Linked DNA regions of Mytilus edulis. The protein of the gene in region 2 purifies or fractionates together with the protein of the main gene of each other region. This does not show direct contact. Links are inferred from orthologs where the notes say so. Each region holds a gene or a part of one and is shown on either strand. Other genes may lie near its edges.

Region 1 (8,566 bases), on a different chromosome or scaffold from region 2:
CCATGACTGGTGGAAATACAAAACCAACAAATAAGTTATGACAAGAGTGCACACGCTGAAATGTCTCGCCTTCTATACTAATCATTGATATTATGTTGATAGTCCTAAGTATAAAGCTGAGCTTTAATACAACTGTCACATAAACTTAACATTAACCAAGATAACTAAACAAAGACCAATGAACCTTGAAAATGAGGTCAAGGTCAGATGAACCATGTCAGGCAGACATGTACAGCTAACAATGCTTCTATACAACATATATAGTTGACCTATTACTTATAGTTTAAGAAAAATAGACCAAAACACAAAAACTTAACACTGTGCAATGAACCGTGAAAATGAGGTCACGGTCAAATAAAACCTGCGCGACTGACATAAAGATCATAAAATATTTCCATACACCAAATATAGATGACCTACGGCATATAGTATTAGATAAAAAGACCAAAACTCAAAAACTTAACTTTGACCACTGAACCATGAAAATGAGGTCAAGGTCACATGACATCTGCCCGCTAGATAGGTACACCTTACAATCATTCCATACAACAAATATAGTAGACCTATTGCATATAGTATGAGAAAAACAGACCAAAACACAAAAATTTAACTATAACCACTGAACCATGAAAATGAGGTCAAGGTCAGATGACACCTGCCAGTTGGACATGTACACCTTACAGTCCTTCCATACACCGAATATACTAGCCCTATTGCTTGTAGTATCTGAGATATGGACTTGACCACCAAAACTTAACCTTGTTCACTGATCCATGAAATGAGGTCGAGGTCAAGTGAAAACTGTCTGACAGACATGAGGACCTTTCAAGGTACGCACATATCAAATATAGTTATCCTATTACTTATAATAAGAGAGAATTCAACATTACAAAAAATCATAACTTTTTTTTCAAGTGGTCACTGAACCATGAAAATGAGGTCAAGGACATTGGACATGTGACTGACGGAAACTTCGTAACATGAGGTATCTATATACAAAGTATGAAGCATCCAGGTCTTCCACCTTCTAAAATATAAAGCTTTTAAGAAGTTAGCTAACACCGCCGCCGCCGGATCACTATCCTTATGTCGAGCTTTCTGCAACAAAAGTTGCAGGCTCGACAATAAAATGAATAGACTTACTATTAGGCCAAAAAAAATATATGTCTGTTTCCTGCTGCCAAGGCAAAAAAATCAGGGTAGGTAGGTCGGGATTTTTTTTTTTTTTTTTTTTTTTTTTTATTATTTTTGCACTCCCTGTCAGATTTGCAAATGGTTAGATGTCATGTTTGGTTAGGGTCCTGTACCCTAAAATCATTTAATCTCTTTAAAGAAGCTTTAATTGAATAATCATCCCAGTGCCGACATTTTTTAAACCTTAATTGTAGCACATTTGTGCTGGGAGCAGCCATTTTAATTGTTTGGGTATAGTAAAATACGGATCTGGATCGGACCGGAAACGAATTTTTCTGGACCGGAAATGATTTTTTTTCCGGAATTGAATAAAAAGATCTAGGGTCGGGGGCTTTGAGTCAGGGTCGGTCGGGAAACAGGAAACAGACATATATTTTTTTTTGGCCTTATCATGATTATCAAGAAAATATATTTTACACCGAAAAATTGAACAACTAGCATGACTAGCTTGCAGTAACTGTGAGTACTCTCAGATCAGAACTTTGTGTCTTATTATTGTTGAGATTTACATGTCCACATCCACCTGCTTTGTGTTTTTGTTAGGGGTATTTCTATTTGTATATATCTATCTGATGAGTTGAGTCTTTTTTTAACTGATTTTTATAGTTTTTTCTTATGTTGTGCTGTTACAACACTGTCCAAAGCTACAAAAAAATGTAGGTGAAGGTTTCGATCCGACTTACATGTTTGTTTTTCCTTAATTTTTTTGTACATTAATTAGGTGGATTGTTTTCTCACTGAATTGTTTTACACTTGTGATTTCAGGGCATTTTATAAAGCTGACTATGCATTATTGAAGACTGTATGGTGACCAGTAGCTTTTAACTTCTGTGTCATTTGGTCTCTTTTAGAGAGTTGTCTCATTGGCAATCATACCAAATCTTCTTTTTTATATCTATAATGAGGGGCCTAATGGGTTAGTTTCGCTATTGTGATCCGTTTTTCTAGATTTTTTTCCTTTTTTTTATATTTTCGTGATCCATGATCATGGAAATTTGTTTTCTGTGAACCAATCAACTCGTGAATCGTGATGAGACACCCCCCACATCAGGCCCCTCTATGATATATCAGGATTATCAACAATATGGTGAGAATATTACAAGGATAGATTTAATAACTACATGTATCATGAATCAACTTTTCTTCCCATTGTACTTACATCATCTTTAAACCCATCAAATCTGTGAACATTTCCATTGTTAAGTCTGAACTTTAAACAGTGACCTCTTGCCCTTTTCAACCACTCTGATGTATTCACCTCCATTCCTGTGAACTGTTCAACTTTTCCTGTTTTATTGTTCTTAAAAATTACACTATTGCTTTGAAGTTTTAATCTTCCTGGGTTCTAAAAAATAAACACAAAGCACATTTATTATGAATAATAATATAAAAAAAATGTTCATATGACTCAGTAAATATTTGTATACAATTCCCCGGTGTCTGTATGCGCGTGATATTGCGCATTAGCTGATTTTGTCATATCAACACAGTAACACAAACAGAATCGTTCTTGTTATTGTTTTAGCCTTCGGAACAATGTGGAAGGGATGAAAAAGAATAAAATTGATAAGTTCAAGGGTTAATTAATAACTGCAATCCCGTCACGTGATTTGCCATATTTGGCCAATTTCCATTAAAAAAAATACATGATCAGATAAAATTTGTTTTAATAAAGTCAAACTTATATAAGATTGAAATAATTTTTGCTCTGCATCCTTGGCAGTGTATTTGGTTCAAACTCAGCTATATTTTGTAGTATAAAATCTTTCCTTTATTTAAAATATGCTATTTTTGGAAGGCATGCACGAAATCACCGGACATTGGAGAAACTCTCAGAACAGGGGTTTCCCTAATTTTGGACACACATTACACAAAATCTAGAGGATGAAACCATACAAACAGAAGATTTTATGAAATAAAAGTATGTTATGAATTTGTTAACACAATATTATCCAATTATTGGTTTTATCAGTTGAATGCAGTGAAGTCATAAGTTATAGGTGAGCGGATACACCGGACTCCACCGTACATAAATATTGCAACATCTATGACTTCTCCTTCTCTCTGTGTCTACATTAAAACAATACATAGATGAACACACTTAAGACTTTTAATTATAATAATTGATAAATTGTATAGATGTGCAAGAGCCTTGAACCCCTATAGCTATTCATAAGAATAAGTAATAGACAGGTCTGTACTATCAGCATCAGACTCGAAAGTGGGACACTTTTATTTATCAGGATTTAACTCTTGTTTCATAAGTGTGGAAATTTAACATGCATGCATTCAGCTGGTTTCAGATGTTTTCAATCAAGTTTGATAAGTAGGTAGACATGGTAGAAAGCATTGCCAAATTGGCCGATACCAACTCAAACCCACTCATCCCCTTGAATTTCGTCCTGTCATCTCCCTACTTATGTATACTGCAAGCGCAAAAAGGTCTGAGCTGTAATTTTCATATAAAAGCTCTTAACAGCCTTTAAATTAGTTTAAAATCGACACAAGTGCGGTGAGTTGCCAGGCCTAAAATATGTCAGAAAATTATTATTTAATTCCATTTTCATAGGTAAACAAGTTTGTCAACAAGCGAGTTGTTTACAATTAGTTAGACAATTTGATAGAAAGTTGGCAGAGTTAGTTGAAAGGGGCGAGTTGGTTGGGGTCTATTTCAGTATTTGGATGGGGCCAGTGGTCTAACTTTCTATCGTTACAAAAAACAGATGTCTTCACATTTTACTGATATTTAAGGTGAAAATACTAACAACTGCTCCTCTTATTTCTTGAACGACGTCACCATATTCCTGAAAGTCGCTCATTGTTAAATAAATTAAGAAATTGCTGATCTATTCATGTGCGTTTTTCCCTCAAAATAATAAAGTGGACCAAGCGGGATAATTTCCGGTTTGAGATTTATATTTGTTTCTGCTTACATTTGATTTATATTCATTAGTTTTTACATTTTCTTATGAAAAATTTCAAAAATAAAAGATAATTGTCAAAAATAATTCAATAAAAAAACAGTTTGGCACATTTTATACAGGAAAACGGACAAAAAATATGATTCTGACGGTTCTCTAAATAGTAAGAAAAAATAGCGGGAAAAAGGTAGAATAATTGGGTAAAAACCTGTACTGTGTATCCGTACCTGAACCACAATATAACTGGGTGTACACAAACAGGTATTTACAAAATATATTTTATAAATACACTCAGTAAAATATAACAGTTGGTTTATTAAGTTTGGTCATTGTTTAATTGTTTTTAACCATCAATGATCTGACTATTTCAAAGTTTCTTGTAATATTAGAGAAAGATAAGGTGGAAATCTCTCTGCTTTCTTTTTCTCGGCCTATCTGAATGATTTTGAATATTGTTTTACAATTGCACGATGGTTTGAACTAAGTTGTATATCTGAATAGATTGAGAATGTGATGAATATGTATAATAAACATTTTTCTTTATTATTTACAGATGAAACAAGGGGCGTTTGCTGAATAAGTTGAAGCTATTTTAGTCCCAACTTTATACATTTAGTGAATATTGTAAACTTTGGAAACTTAGTGTAAATTCTATTATGATAAAATTATGATCTTTTTCTAGTGGACGTTTATCGCAAAATTTTTATTTTCATTGTGATAACATTGATTTAGAAGTTTTCAAAATAATTCCATGTTTGGGGTTGACTTTTCAATGCAAGTACCAAAAAGATATAAGTTAAAAAGACATATCGTATATATAATATGAAATTAAAATTTGTGCCGACTTTTAAAACCTTAGGAAATTATTTTTTTTAAATATAGAAAAAAAAACGATTATTGTTAAAAAATAAATGTAAAATAAAAACAAACAAACAAAAATTTCAACATCTTTTTGAAAATTTTGTTTGGCTCTTACAAGAGCCTTTCGTTGCACATTTGCAATGAAATTCAGGACTTAGTCTTGGAACTCGTCATTTGCAGTTAGGATTCATGCATGTCTATCTCCATCATGGTGCCTTCCATTTGTTCTGCCTTCTCTCTATTATTAAGTAGTTCTAACATGGTGTCAGCCTCTTCTTTCTTTACTGAGGCATATTCAAAGTAGACCCGACGAAGAGCGTCGACAATGGCTATTCTTAGACGTAAATTGTAGCGTAAACTACGATGTCCGGCTCTTTCCGCTCGGCAGTAACGCTCCATCAATAAATGCATCTTTTCGTTAAGCAGAATCATTTGCTTACAAGCTTTGTTGAAACAAATCTTCTTGGTCGCTATTTCCTCTTCGATGTAGTCTTTCTCCATTGCGATAAGTAAACTGACAAATAACGGAAAGGACAGCCATTTTATATCATCTTTCTACCTTAATAATCTCCTTTGATCTTTATCAGGTAATGATGATTTAATTGATTGTGTAATAAATCGCTTAAGGGGTAATTTTTCACACGATAGATAAAAGGTAGTTGTTTTGACAACGCTAGACTGCTGTCTATATAAGTGTAAAAATACTGTATGTAATATTGGTCCCAGATGTGATTTTTAATATATGTTTGAATAAGAAAGCATTAAAAAAGATATGATATTTGTTTTTACAGTAATTAAATTCTTATAACGTATGGCTTGGATCAAATTATTAATTGATAACAAGTGATAGAATTAATACCGACAAAAATATGGCATATCTAGCTAAAATGTCGATTGTATTGAGTCATAATCATCTTTTCAGTAAAATATATGATTCTTTAAAAAGTTATCATTTATATTTGTAAATTTCAAAATACATAATTATTTCACGCATATAAACATACGATTAAGTTCGAGTAAATATGAATAGATTGTTTGAAATATATTTAAAAAGAAAATTAAATTTTAAATAGGGATGGATTAATATAAAACAAAAATGTTAAAATACAATTCAATTCAATTCAATATTTTATTTAAGTCTCATCTCTCAATAATATATAATACAACATTACATTAAATGTAAAATTATATAAATATAAAAAGAGAGCCATTCTGTACAGAATTACAAGAGACTATAACATTAAATTTATATAAAGAATTCATCTATTATAAAACATATTAACATTAACATTATTTACAGTATAAAACATTTCTACGTCTATATAAAATAAGATTACAGGCTTTGGCACAGCTATAATCATATTATTATCTGTAAATAAAAACACTAATTTCTGTTTATCATAAAAAGACATAAAATCACTATTAAAATGTGTTGCTTCATAAAATTTTTTTTTTTCTAAAATCGCCATATAAAGGACACGATAAAATAACATTGGCTTCATCTTCTAAAATATTTATACAATTATCACAGACTCGATCTTTTAAAATTAATTTTTCAAATCTCCCCGTTTCTATTCTTAGTGGTGCTACACCACATCGAAATTTGGCAAAAGAACTCCTTTGCGAAAATGGCATTGGAATTATTTTCTGCAAATTAAAATATAAGTCCTTCTTTTCGACACATATATTATATTCAAGATTCAAAGTTTTATTTAGAATCGATATTCAATAAACTACATAACACAAGCTCTAGTGAGCTTTTCAAATCGACTTAATAACAAAATACAATACACACACACACAATACAATACACACAAACAAAAGTCATGAAAATAACACAATTTTAAACATATAATGCATAGTAAGATACCATAATGACATATATAAGTTAAAAGCATAGTACACTTAAAACATAGCACAAGTTAATATATATTTATATGACCCTCTTTTCCTCGATAATTTTTAAACACGGTATTTTAAAACAATTCTCTTTCATTTCCGTAAATGTTTGCTTACTCTGTAACTAAGGCATGTATTTTTTTATATAAATATTGTGACGTATATTGAAAAAAAACCGCATATTTCTATTCAACATTTTTTCTGTTTATTTAACAATAAAGAAAGTATTGTAAAATTAAACGTTTCATATTCCACACATTTTAGTAGACTTCAATTATTTATAGACCCCCCCCCCCCTTTTATAATTACTTTGAATGATACAGCTCATCTGTATTATAGTATATGCATACATATACTATTTACAAGCGTTAAAAAACACAGGAATTGATAATAAACGTCAGCAATATCAGTCACATATTATACAGTTTGTAAGTTTCAGACACATATAATTCAATTATGCCTTTGAAATTGTTTCTGTACTTAAAGGCATAGAGTTAGTACTTTGCTAAATTACAAAGTTTCTTAGTGTTTTCAACAGAAAGTAATTGTACCAATTTATAAGTTGAAGGTCTAGCCCAATAATATTTCTTGATAAACTTCTAACGTATATCACCATTATTGAACATCGCAAAATAAAATGAAATTCATCCTCTACTCTCCATTTGTATCACACAATACGTATTCTACTTTTCTTTACTAATTTCATCAAAACGACCAGTTTCGCGAAATCAATACATAGAGAATTTATTTTAGAAAATTGAGAAGGAAGGAAAATTTTGTGTATTGTGTAGTTCACGACGTTCAGACTGTACAGTGGCGGATCCAGAGGGGGGCGTAGAGGGCGTACGCCCCCCTTTTGCTTGGACTTTTTTTTTTTTTTGTAAAAAAATATTAATCAGACTAAGACTTCGTGAAATTTGCCATTTCCCGTGTATTTTGTTTTTAAGCGACATTTCTTAACTTATAACGATAATTATTGCTCGTATTTACTGTAATATATTATTATTTATGTCAACGTCATGTGATTCGCTACGGCGGTGTTAACCAGTGCGTCAAAAAAAAAAACCGGCATTCAGTCATTTTGAAATTCAGATTACAGTAACACTTGCTTATGATGAAGGTGACAAGCATGACACCTTCAAAGCAACAAAGGATTGAGCAAGAACGTACTGACTTCTATTTCATAATTCCACCAAACAGAAAGTAATACTCTATTACACTCTCGTGAAAGTTCCATAGCAATATTATAAATCTACGAAAACATGTTTAATCCCAAAGGCCCCAGCCTATAGATAACATAGCTGAATAATGATCCCGAGTCAGTAAGCTCTAGATGGATTTTATGTCTTTTAAAAGTATGGACTATTTGATTTGAGGGGGCAATGATCTGAGAAGTTTGAGAGAAAAAATCTTACCCTGATTTTTGTCTTAATCAAAAATTCTGGTCGTATATATCTGGATTGAAAACATTAATTTTGTCCACTTATTTTCTATTAGAAACAAAAATTTCGGGTGTTATTTTTTGTTGCCGGGGTTTGCATGTAAATCCCATATCTGACCGGAATATTTGTTTCGCCGAACTGATATATTGAATACTTTTGTCAAGGCCCGATTTCAACCTGCCTGCTTGGTGTGGCCATTATATCTCCATTTGTCGACCGTCATCCTTAAATTCGTTGTCCTTTCAGACT
Region 2 (8,878 bases):
TCATTGTTGAAGGCCGTACGGTGACCTATAGTCGTTAATGTCTGTGTTATTTTGGTCACTGTGGACAGTTGACTCATTGGCAATCATATCACATCTTCTTTTTTATATCATCAACGTCGAGTCGAGCATGCCGATGAGAGCGGACTTGAAAATATTTGCAGAGACAATCCATCAACATCATTGAAATTGTTTTGTCAAATTGATTTCATGGATAAATATTATTATCCTTACATCGTATATTTTATGATTTGGATTATATTTTTTTGTTGAGAAAGGTTTCTGCAGATATTTTCAGGTTTGTTTGAGACATGTAGTCAGATGGGATCCTTTAGTAGTTTCCATGTGGGAAACTATCAGACCAATCTATTTGATGTCTGAGGGTTTTAGCTGTTCCCCTAATGGATCGGTAGTTTCTTTCCGAGATCCTTTATCATAGGATTTTCGGCTTTCCTCTACCAGGAATACAGCTGGGCATTTAGCGGTATCGGTTTGGATTCCAAGTATGTCCTCTCCGGTTTCCCATTCGTTGTCTAGGCATTTGTGCGGCATCCGGGGTGATCTTATCCCTTATTTTGTATATGGACCATAATTTGGTATTCGGCCTTTGGTTTCTTTTTGTATCCTTTTTTATAAGTTCTAAAACTTTAACTTTTATTTTGTGGGTTGTGTTGGTGTTAGAATAGTATGAATGGAACAATTGAGTCACGGCCAGGCTGGGAGACTGGATAGGCAAATGCTCACATTAAATCTGTACCGATATAGTGTGTTAAATGTCTTCCTTTTTACACCATAACCCATGGTGGTGCTCCTACTAAAGGAGGGAGATACGGAACATACATACATACAAGACAAAGATTTATATGTCATGATCATGTAGTTTGTTTCAATAATTTGTTGTGAAGTTCGCGTTCTAGGTTACAGTATAGCTCACCCCTCAATCAATCAAAGAGCTGATAGCTCTGAAGTGGAAGAAGGTGAATAAAAGGTAACTTGAATTACCATAAAAGCAGCCCCACTAACCCAGGCTGCTTTGTTCCATTATCGTTATAATGTATTTTTTTTCTTCAAACAAGAAAAGGTCACATTAGTACATGGATTTCCCATCCGTACAATCATTTTCTATGTTCAGTTGACTATGAAAATTAGGTAAAATCTTTAATTTGGCAATAAAATTAAGAAGAACATATCATAAGGAACACATGTGTACTAAGTTTCAAGTTGATTGGATTTCAACTTCATCAAAAACTACCTCGACCATAAACTTTATAACCAGAAGCAGGACGGACGGACAGACTAGAAAACATATTGCCCACAAATGGAGCTTAAAAAAGTAAGGCTCGTTACATACCCGCCAACTTTTGAAAGTTCCCAATTCCCATATGGGTTTTTCCTGCACAAATTTTTTTTTAAAGGTTACAATTTTTAGCGATGTATTTTGCACGATCTGGATTGTCTAGAAAAAGTGTCATATTTGTATGATTAACTTACATGCCTTTTTCTTAAGTCTGTTTGCATGATTCTAGTTTTAATTCAGTAGAAAAAATATACATGAAGCTAGCAGACCAGGGTTTATTTTCCAGAGTAAGAATATTAGATGCTTGTTGAAATTTCCAATTTTAAATTATGCACAAAGATGGACCTTTAACAGGTTGGGAACAACACTCCAAATGAGATTAACCTAACTGGAAGATCAGTATAACCCACTGTAAAAAATGAGCACCAAAAAAGTCATTTATATTCATATTATTTGATGAAACTTTTCCCCAAGAACTATATGCATCTATTAAGTACTGAATAGTCAAAACATGTCAAAAGAATTTTCTGTTGTTTCTAAACTTATATCTTTTTTAATAATTTGACCCCTCATTTAGAAAAGTTGTTCCAAATATGAATTTTCCCACTTTTGAGTTTAATAAAAATCTTCAAAATGTACTTTATTTTTTTTCAACAGTAAAATGACCCCTTGTTTTAGGGACAGTCCCTCATTTAAGGGACACCACTCATAATTGGAGTGGGGGTGGGGTGGGGGGTCCCAACCTAAATACAAAAATAAAATATGTTACAACCAGTATTATGTCAATAAATTGTCAATAAATTAGTGAAAAAATACTATTTACTATCTTTATCATGTTTTTGGTAGTACAGTAGACTCCGGCCAATGGGATACCCAGATTGTCAGCTAAAAATATCTGATTACCCGATATATTCAATAAGACGATGAATGTATATTCATTAAATATTCTACAATAATAAGTAGATCTATTGCTTAATATGTGAAAGGGCTGGAGGATTGATGGAGTGATTTTTATCAATAACATCACCACGATGTTTGTGAAATAAAATTATCAGCTGATTATGTAGCTAATGAATAAATTTGTTTCCACCTGCAGTTTTTAAATCCTATATTTATTAAAATCAATTAAATGTCCTGAAGTATTTATGTAAATTAGTATCTTCCATCCATAGTTTGTCTTTACTTGTTTAGTAAACAAATTATTTACATTTTCACACAGGTAAACTAATTTGGCTATAAATAGATCACAGCATGTCTGTGTAGAATCTCTTATCAAAAATCGTAATTGTTATAATTTTATTTCTTTAAATAATCAAATTTAAATTTATGAAAATATTCATGATTGATAAAATAGTATTGCTTGAAGTATACACTTTCAGAGACTATTTATGTTTAGGTCATGGTTCTTCACATAGTTGTAAACAAACCAATATGGCCGACACTCGTGATTACCTTTGCACATGAAAAAAATATTTCTGACAAAAGTCAGATTTCTCTTGTCAAAAGGAATTTATATTTATATTGCAATACATTCTTCAGAAGGAGGTACATAGAGTTTCAATTATATTTCTTTTTCTATGAGCTTAGATTTTAATCACATTCTCCAAACAGCAACGTATTGCTCTTGTCAACTGAGTCTTGAATAATTTTATAAATAGATTCAAACCATTTGGAGTAGAAGGGCATCTAATTCACATGACAAAGGAAAACAATGAATTATGACAACAATTTAATAAGAAATATATCCTTTTTATTTACAAAAAAACAAAATCTTCTTGTCTGCAGGATTGCAAATTCGTAACTTCAAGGGCTAACTTGTAAACAGGGCGAGTTGTCCCGATACCAAATTCACGCATGCCTAATACAAATATCTACAGTTAAAACATCCTGTGACTAGTAAACAAAGACCAAATAACGTTCATGTGGATGAGATGAAATCTGATAATTTACATAATTAAAAGGGTCATATTTACGATAGTGATTGTTTTTCAATCCTAATTTACAAATTAAATGATTCAGATGCCTAATCATGTGTAAAAATCGGTGTCAGGAATCTTAGACTTAGTTGTTATGAAATTGTAATACACGAAACGAATGCGGCATACGGAGGCTCAATGCCAAAGGTCAGCCCCTTAAGTCTTCAGAAGACTTGACGTCTTCTTCCACTAAAAACTGTACTTGGGAGGTATTTTTCTATTGTGTTCAATTTTCCAGGATGGAATAAATATCATAATTCATACTCTGGTAGGAATAATTTTGAAAATAGTGTCTTCGTCTTTTTTGTTAAATTCATTTTTCTTCAGTACATGTGATACTGATAGGCACATTAAACCTTAAATTAAAAAGTTTTATGATTTTCGATCGTAAATATCAGAGTAAGTCATTTTAAATGTATATGTATAACTGATTATACCATTTCCACTTTCGTCACTGCCAAACAATTCTCTGCTTTCCGCCATGCTTTATGACTAAATTTAGAAACGATGTCGGACTGGATACGATAAGACAAATCGGCATCTACTTTTTTCGACACTTCTTTCTTCATACTATAAAACGACAACTCGTACTCAAGCAAGTCGTACCCTATTTTGACCAACACGTTACTAAAATGTATTATTATTTATACATTCACACTAATTTAAAACACTAACAATGTCATCTAAATGATTCTTGTCCACGAGGATAAGGAATGTCATCAAAGGGCTTACGATACAGATACAGGGGGAACGACTGCGTTTCATAGACCCCTCTTTTTTTAAAATGACATTAGGTTTCATTATCGAAACTAAGTCATCTGATTATACTAAAGGTGCATCATAGAAAAACTAGAAATAAATGGAAATAAAAAAAATAAAAAGGATAAAAAGGATCCCCTTTTTTGTTCAAACATGAATGTATGCTTTTGTATTTTATTAATAAATGATGTGAATATTTGAACCTTTTATGATCTTTTATCCAGTTTAGACAGAACATTTCGTGGCATGTATTTATATATATGTATATTGCCCTTTTTAGTCTGAAATAAATCAAGATTACATTATAATTATCATGACTTTTATCTTATAATTTGGGTTGAATCTTACTGACTTACACCAACCATGCACACACCACATAAATCGTTCATTCATCTATACACTATGCTGTTTTAAAACTGAAAGTATATTACTTTTTTAACACATCCTTGATAAATCAAGGGGAGAAAAACACGAAGTTTATTCTGTTGTTTCTCACTAAATTTTACTTCTTGTTGCTATATTCTTCTCCTTGTCGCTTCTTGGTGACTTTTGTCGCTTTTATGCGCTTTTTGTCGCTTCTTGTCGATTCTTAACGCTTATTGTCGCTAATTATTGAAACCCCGAATGAAGATTGATCAAGCCAAAAAAAAATTATGAAAGTTTTTTTTTTAAATTAGAAAACTATACTGCAAATAAACCGTTGCAAATAATGCTGTTCATATTCTACAATCTTGGATAAAATGGATTATTCCAAAGAATTTTTATACAGATTTAGAACATACTTATATATGTTAAGAAAATATTCCAAATGTTTAATTTTTCAAATCTGTATGTGTTTATCTTTTGAAACAAAGAAGTTAGTTATGTCTACCCAAAGGATAGCCTGAAATTAGAAGAAAACAAGAATGTGTCCATAGTACACGGATGCCCCACTCGCACTATCATTTTCTGTGTGCAGTGGACCGTGAAAATGGGGTCAAAACTTTAATTTGGAATTATAGTTAGAAAGACCATATCATAGGGAACATGTGTACTAAGTTTCAAGTTGGTGTAACTTTAACTTCATCAAAAACTACCTTGACCAAAAACTTTAACCTGAACTTCGCACTATCATTTTCTATGTTCAGTGGACCATGAAATTGGGGTCAAAACTATATTTTGGCATTAAAATTAGAAAGATCATATCATGGGGAACATGTGTACTAAGTTTCAAGTTGATTGGACTTCAACTTCATCAAAAACTACCTTGACCAAAAACTTTAACCTGAACTTCCCACTATCATTTTCTATGTTCAGTGGATCATGAAATTGGGGTCAAAAATATAATTTGGCATTAAAATTAGAAAGATCATATCATGGGAAACATGTGTACTAAGTTTCAAGTTGATTGGACTTCAACTTCTTCAAAAACTACCTTGACCAAAATCTTTAACCGGACGGACGAACGAACGGAGGCACAGACCAGAAAACATAATGCCCCTCTACTATCGTAGGTGGGGCATAAAAATAAATAGCCAACTCAGTAAAGACCCGTCTAAATTCTATTAAATTTATCAATGCAATAACACCGTTATCTTTGCGGTGCTATCTCGTCGTTAAGTATATAACTGACAAGATTTCTTCAAATCTGTTCTGCCGTAATTTAAAAGAAGTAATATAACTTTGAACAAATTAAATACAAACAGAAATAATTGCCCTTTCTTAGATTAAGATTATTGAAGCTTGGACAATGAAGTAAACATGTACCAAGCAATTTGAAGAATAAAGAATATTTATTTGTTGGGAAAAAAAAGATACTTCAGTTTAACACGAGAAACACTATGGAAAAGTTTTCGACAAAAGGGCCGATTTTCTCGTTCCCTATTGTTAATTTTCCTTATTCTGAACGATGACGTTTCTTTGGCGCCATCCGTGTCTGTATTGACGTTTGTCAATGAACGTATACTAATATTTTATTTAAAGGGAAAGATTACGTAACATGCACAAGTTATTTAAAATCTTTACCAAATATTTTTATAGATGCAAAGATTTCAAAAGCTCAATCATTTCAAACGAATGGACAACAACTGTCACAATTCTTACTTGGTACAGGCATTTTCTTATGTAGAAAATGGTGAATTAAAAACTGGTTTTATAGCTAGCTAAACCTCTCACGTGTATGACAGTCGCATGAAATTCCATTATATTTACAACGATGTGCGAACAAAAAAACCCAGACATAATAGGTAACAATGTAAAAAATGGGGGTATAGCAGTCAACATTTTGTTATTATCTTAATTACTATAAAACCAACAAATAGAACACAAGAAAAAAATACTCCAGCACAGTAACACGATGACGGAATGTATACAGGGATACGTCATATGACGTAACAAAGAAACACAAAAAGGAATGTAGCTATACAAAGCATATTAACCAAAATGAAAGACACAAGTACATAAATTATATTAGAACATTACCGTATGATTACGCAATGACGGGATGTATAAATACAGATCGAACCAAGTCAAATCTTTATGGATACCACCAATAACAGAATAAAAAGTAAAATTAATATTCATAAACACAAATACAAGAATACTATAACATGTTGTTAAGATCATAAACCGTATGTCAGTTCTCAGAATCTAAACTTCAAGATCATACGGTGTAATTTTTGTGATGTCGATACGGAATATTTATAAAACAAAATCTGGATACCTTCCAATGAACTTTTTAAGATAAAGGATTAGACGTTCTTTGACTTACCCCTGGTTCACCACCTTTCCAACTAGACACTGGTGTCGTTTAACAAAGTCTCAGTAGTTGCTGTATGCTTTTTGTCTGTACACCAGCTTTGATTATTTGTAATATCTTCACTTATTCTTACAACATTTGTATAAACTTCAAGATTATAAAAAAACCGGTTTTTTCTAAAGTAAACATTGATTGGTTAAATATTTCTCAGTCATGTCCTGTTTTTGAATTTGTTTGTTAGCTTTTTGGTCATGAATGTTTGTCTCTAATATTTAATTAACTGTGCATTTGTATTCAGATATCGCAGATCAAATTTATTCGTTCATTGTTTAATCATACGTTTTTTGATTGAGTTAAGTCTGCCAATTGATATTTTATCGTATGTCTTTGTTGTGATGTTATGCTATTGTTTCAGAAAAAGGGAGAAGGTTTGGATCCATTAAAACGTTTAATCCCGCTGCAAATGTTTGCACCTGTCCTAAGTCAGGAATCTGATGTACAGTAGTTGTCGTTTGTTTATGTAATATATACGTGTTTCTCGTTTCTCGTTTTGTTTATATAGATTAGACCGTTGGTTTTCCCGTTTGAATGGTTTTACACTAGTAATTTTGGGGCCCTTTATAGCTTGTTGTTCGGTGTGAGCTAAGGCTCCGTGTTGAAGGCCGTACTTTAACCTATAATGGTTTACTTTTTAAATTGTTATTTGTATGGAGAGTTGTCTCATTGGCACTCACACCACATCTTCCTATATCTATTTTGATAATATTCTGAATCAGGAATGCATTGGGAATTGTATACCCCATATGCAGGTGAAGTTAGTATAATGCTACTAAGGTGGAAACTATTGATAATTTCAAAATTAAAATTGTCTCGTTTGTCATAGATTCTGGCACTGAGATGACCGTGTATGTCACATTCGAGGTATATAAATCTAAAAAGGATGCTAATGAAGCCGTGTTAACTTAATGTTCTAGTTGTGGGGGATATATTAATGGAAACTAATCAGAGACATTTGGATTGTTGATGAAAAGCACATAATCTCATGTATATCACAATATGAAATTAAATGACCTGGCTTTTTTTATCTTCTTCTTTTTCACAAGTGCCCGAAGGAATTCCGATTCATATGAAAATAAGAAAAGGTCGGCAAGTAGATGCAGTTCGTTCCCGTACCAGACCTCAATTCAATTATTCTAATTCAATGATTGCGTCTTAAATTCTTCCCGTTAAGGGTTTAGTATAATATTATGCCGTCATAAAATACAACAGGAAGGACATAACCCTTATCATACCAACAAGTGGTTTTAGAATAAAAAAAAATCAATCATGAGCTTGGTCTAAATTCTAATCCGTCTTTTTCATATAACAGGAACAAGAGGCAATATCAGATTTTATTAACAATAAAAGGCCCACAAGGGGCATATAGAAGAAACATATGTATAGGGGAAAAGAACATTAATTATCATAGATAAATAGAATTTAAATACACAATAAGCTTGTTAATAAATTGTGAGTGATGTCATAGCATTGATTATTTATCACTTTTTAAACATCCTTCCGGCTCCATGTATACAATTATCAGAAAGTAGTTTGTAATTTGCACCGCCAGTTCCAACATAACTCCCGACATTTTGGTTACCGCCAACGTCACGAGACCCCATAGATTGCCATTGATTGGACATATGTTTTGCGTCAGTTACAACCGTTTGACTGGAAATTCCATAGCCATCACCTTTATGAATAAGGTATTGATTTCCCTGGTCCGTTGTTACTCTAAAAAACAGAAATTGAAAACAGTATTTTGTGAAAAATTTATCATGGATGGTTTACATAAATTTAGCCTATGAAAAGTGGTACCTAATGCCATTTGCATTCATATTTTCTTCAAATACTGATTATCAATGGTAGAATATTATATGTTTCAACGTAATTAACATTAGACAGTAGAGAGACTGTACCTTACGGCCTGGTGATTATAACAAATGGGACATTAAGAGAGACTGTACCTCACGCCCTGGTGATTAACAAATGGGACATTTGCACTGCCACCACTACTGCCCATCGGTCTTGCCATACGTTCCACATTGGTCACTTTCTCGTTATATATACCGG

What was found. The genes of interacting proteins can lie anywhere in the genome.
Region 1: the proteins of RNA polymerase-associated protein LEO1-like (region 2) and FACT complex subunit SSRP1-like fractionate together in Homo sapiens (co-fractionation; 3 studies listed by BioGRID and IntAct, with this or other methods). This does not show direct contact. The link is inferred for Mytilus edulis from reciprocal best matches to the Homo sapiens genes LEO1 and SSRP1.

Annotation. Positions count from the first base shown.
Region 1 is NC_092349.1:23,152,450-23,161,015, forward strand, and holds the start of FACT complex subunit SSRP1-like, read right to left. Parts: upstream 4,117-8,566; 5' UTR 4,014-4,116; coding exon 3,960-4,013; intron 2,540-3,959; coding exon 2,354-2,539; intron 1-2,353. UniProt on the Homo sapiens protein: Component of the FACT complex, a general chromatin factor that acts to reorganize nucleosomes. The FACT complex is involved in multiple processes that require DNA as a template such as mRNA elongation, DNA replication and DNA repair.
Region 2 is NC_092354.1:82,880,035-82,888,912, forward strand, and holds the start of RNA polymerase-associated protein LEO1-like, read right to left. Parts: upstream 3,815-8,878; 5' UTR 3,754-3,814; coding exon 3,708-3,753; intron 1-3,707. Other genes in the region: uncharacterized protein, read right to left, coding at 8,305-8,539, 8,773-8,878. UniProt on the Homo sapiens protein: Component of the PAF1 complex (PAF1C) which has multiple functions during transcription by RNA polymerase II and is implicated in regulation of development and maintenance of embryonic stem cell pluripotency.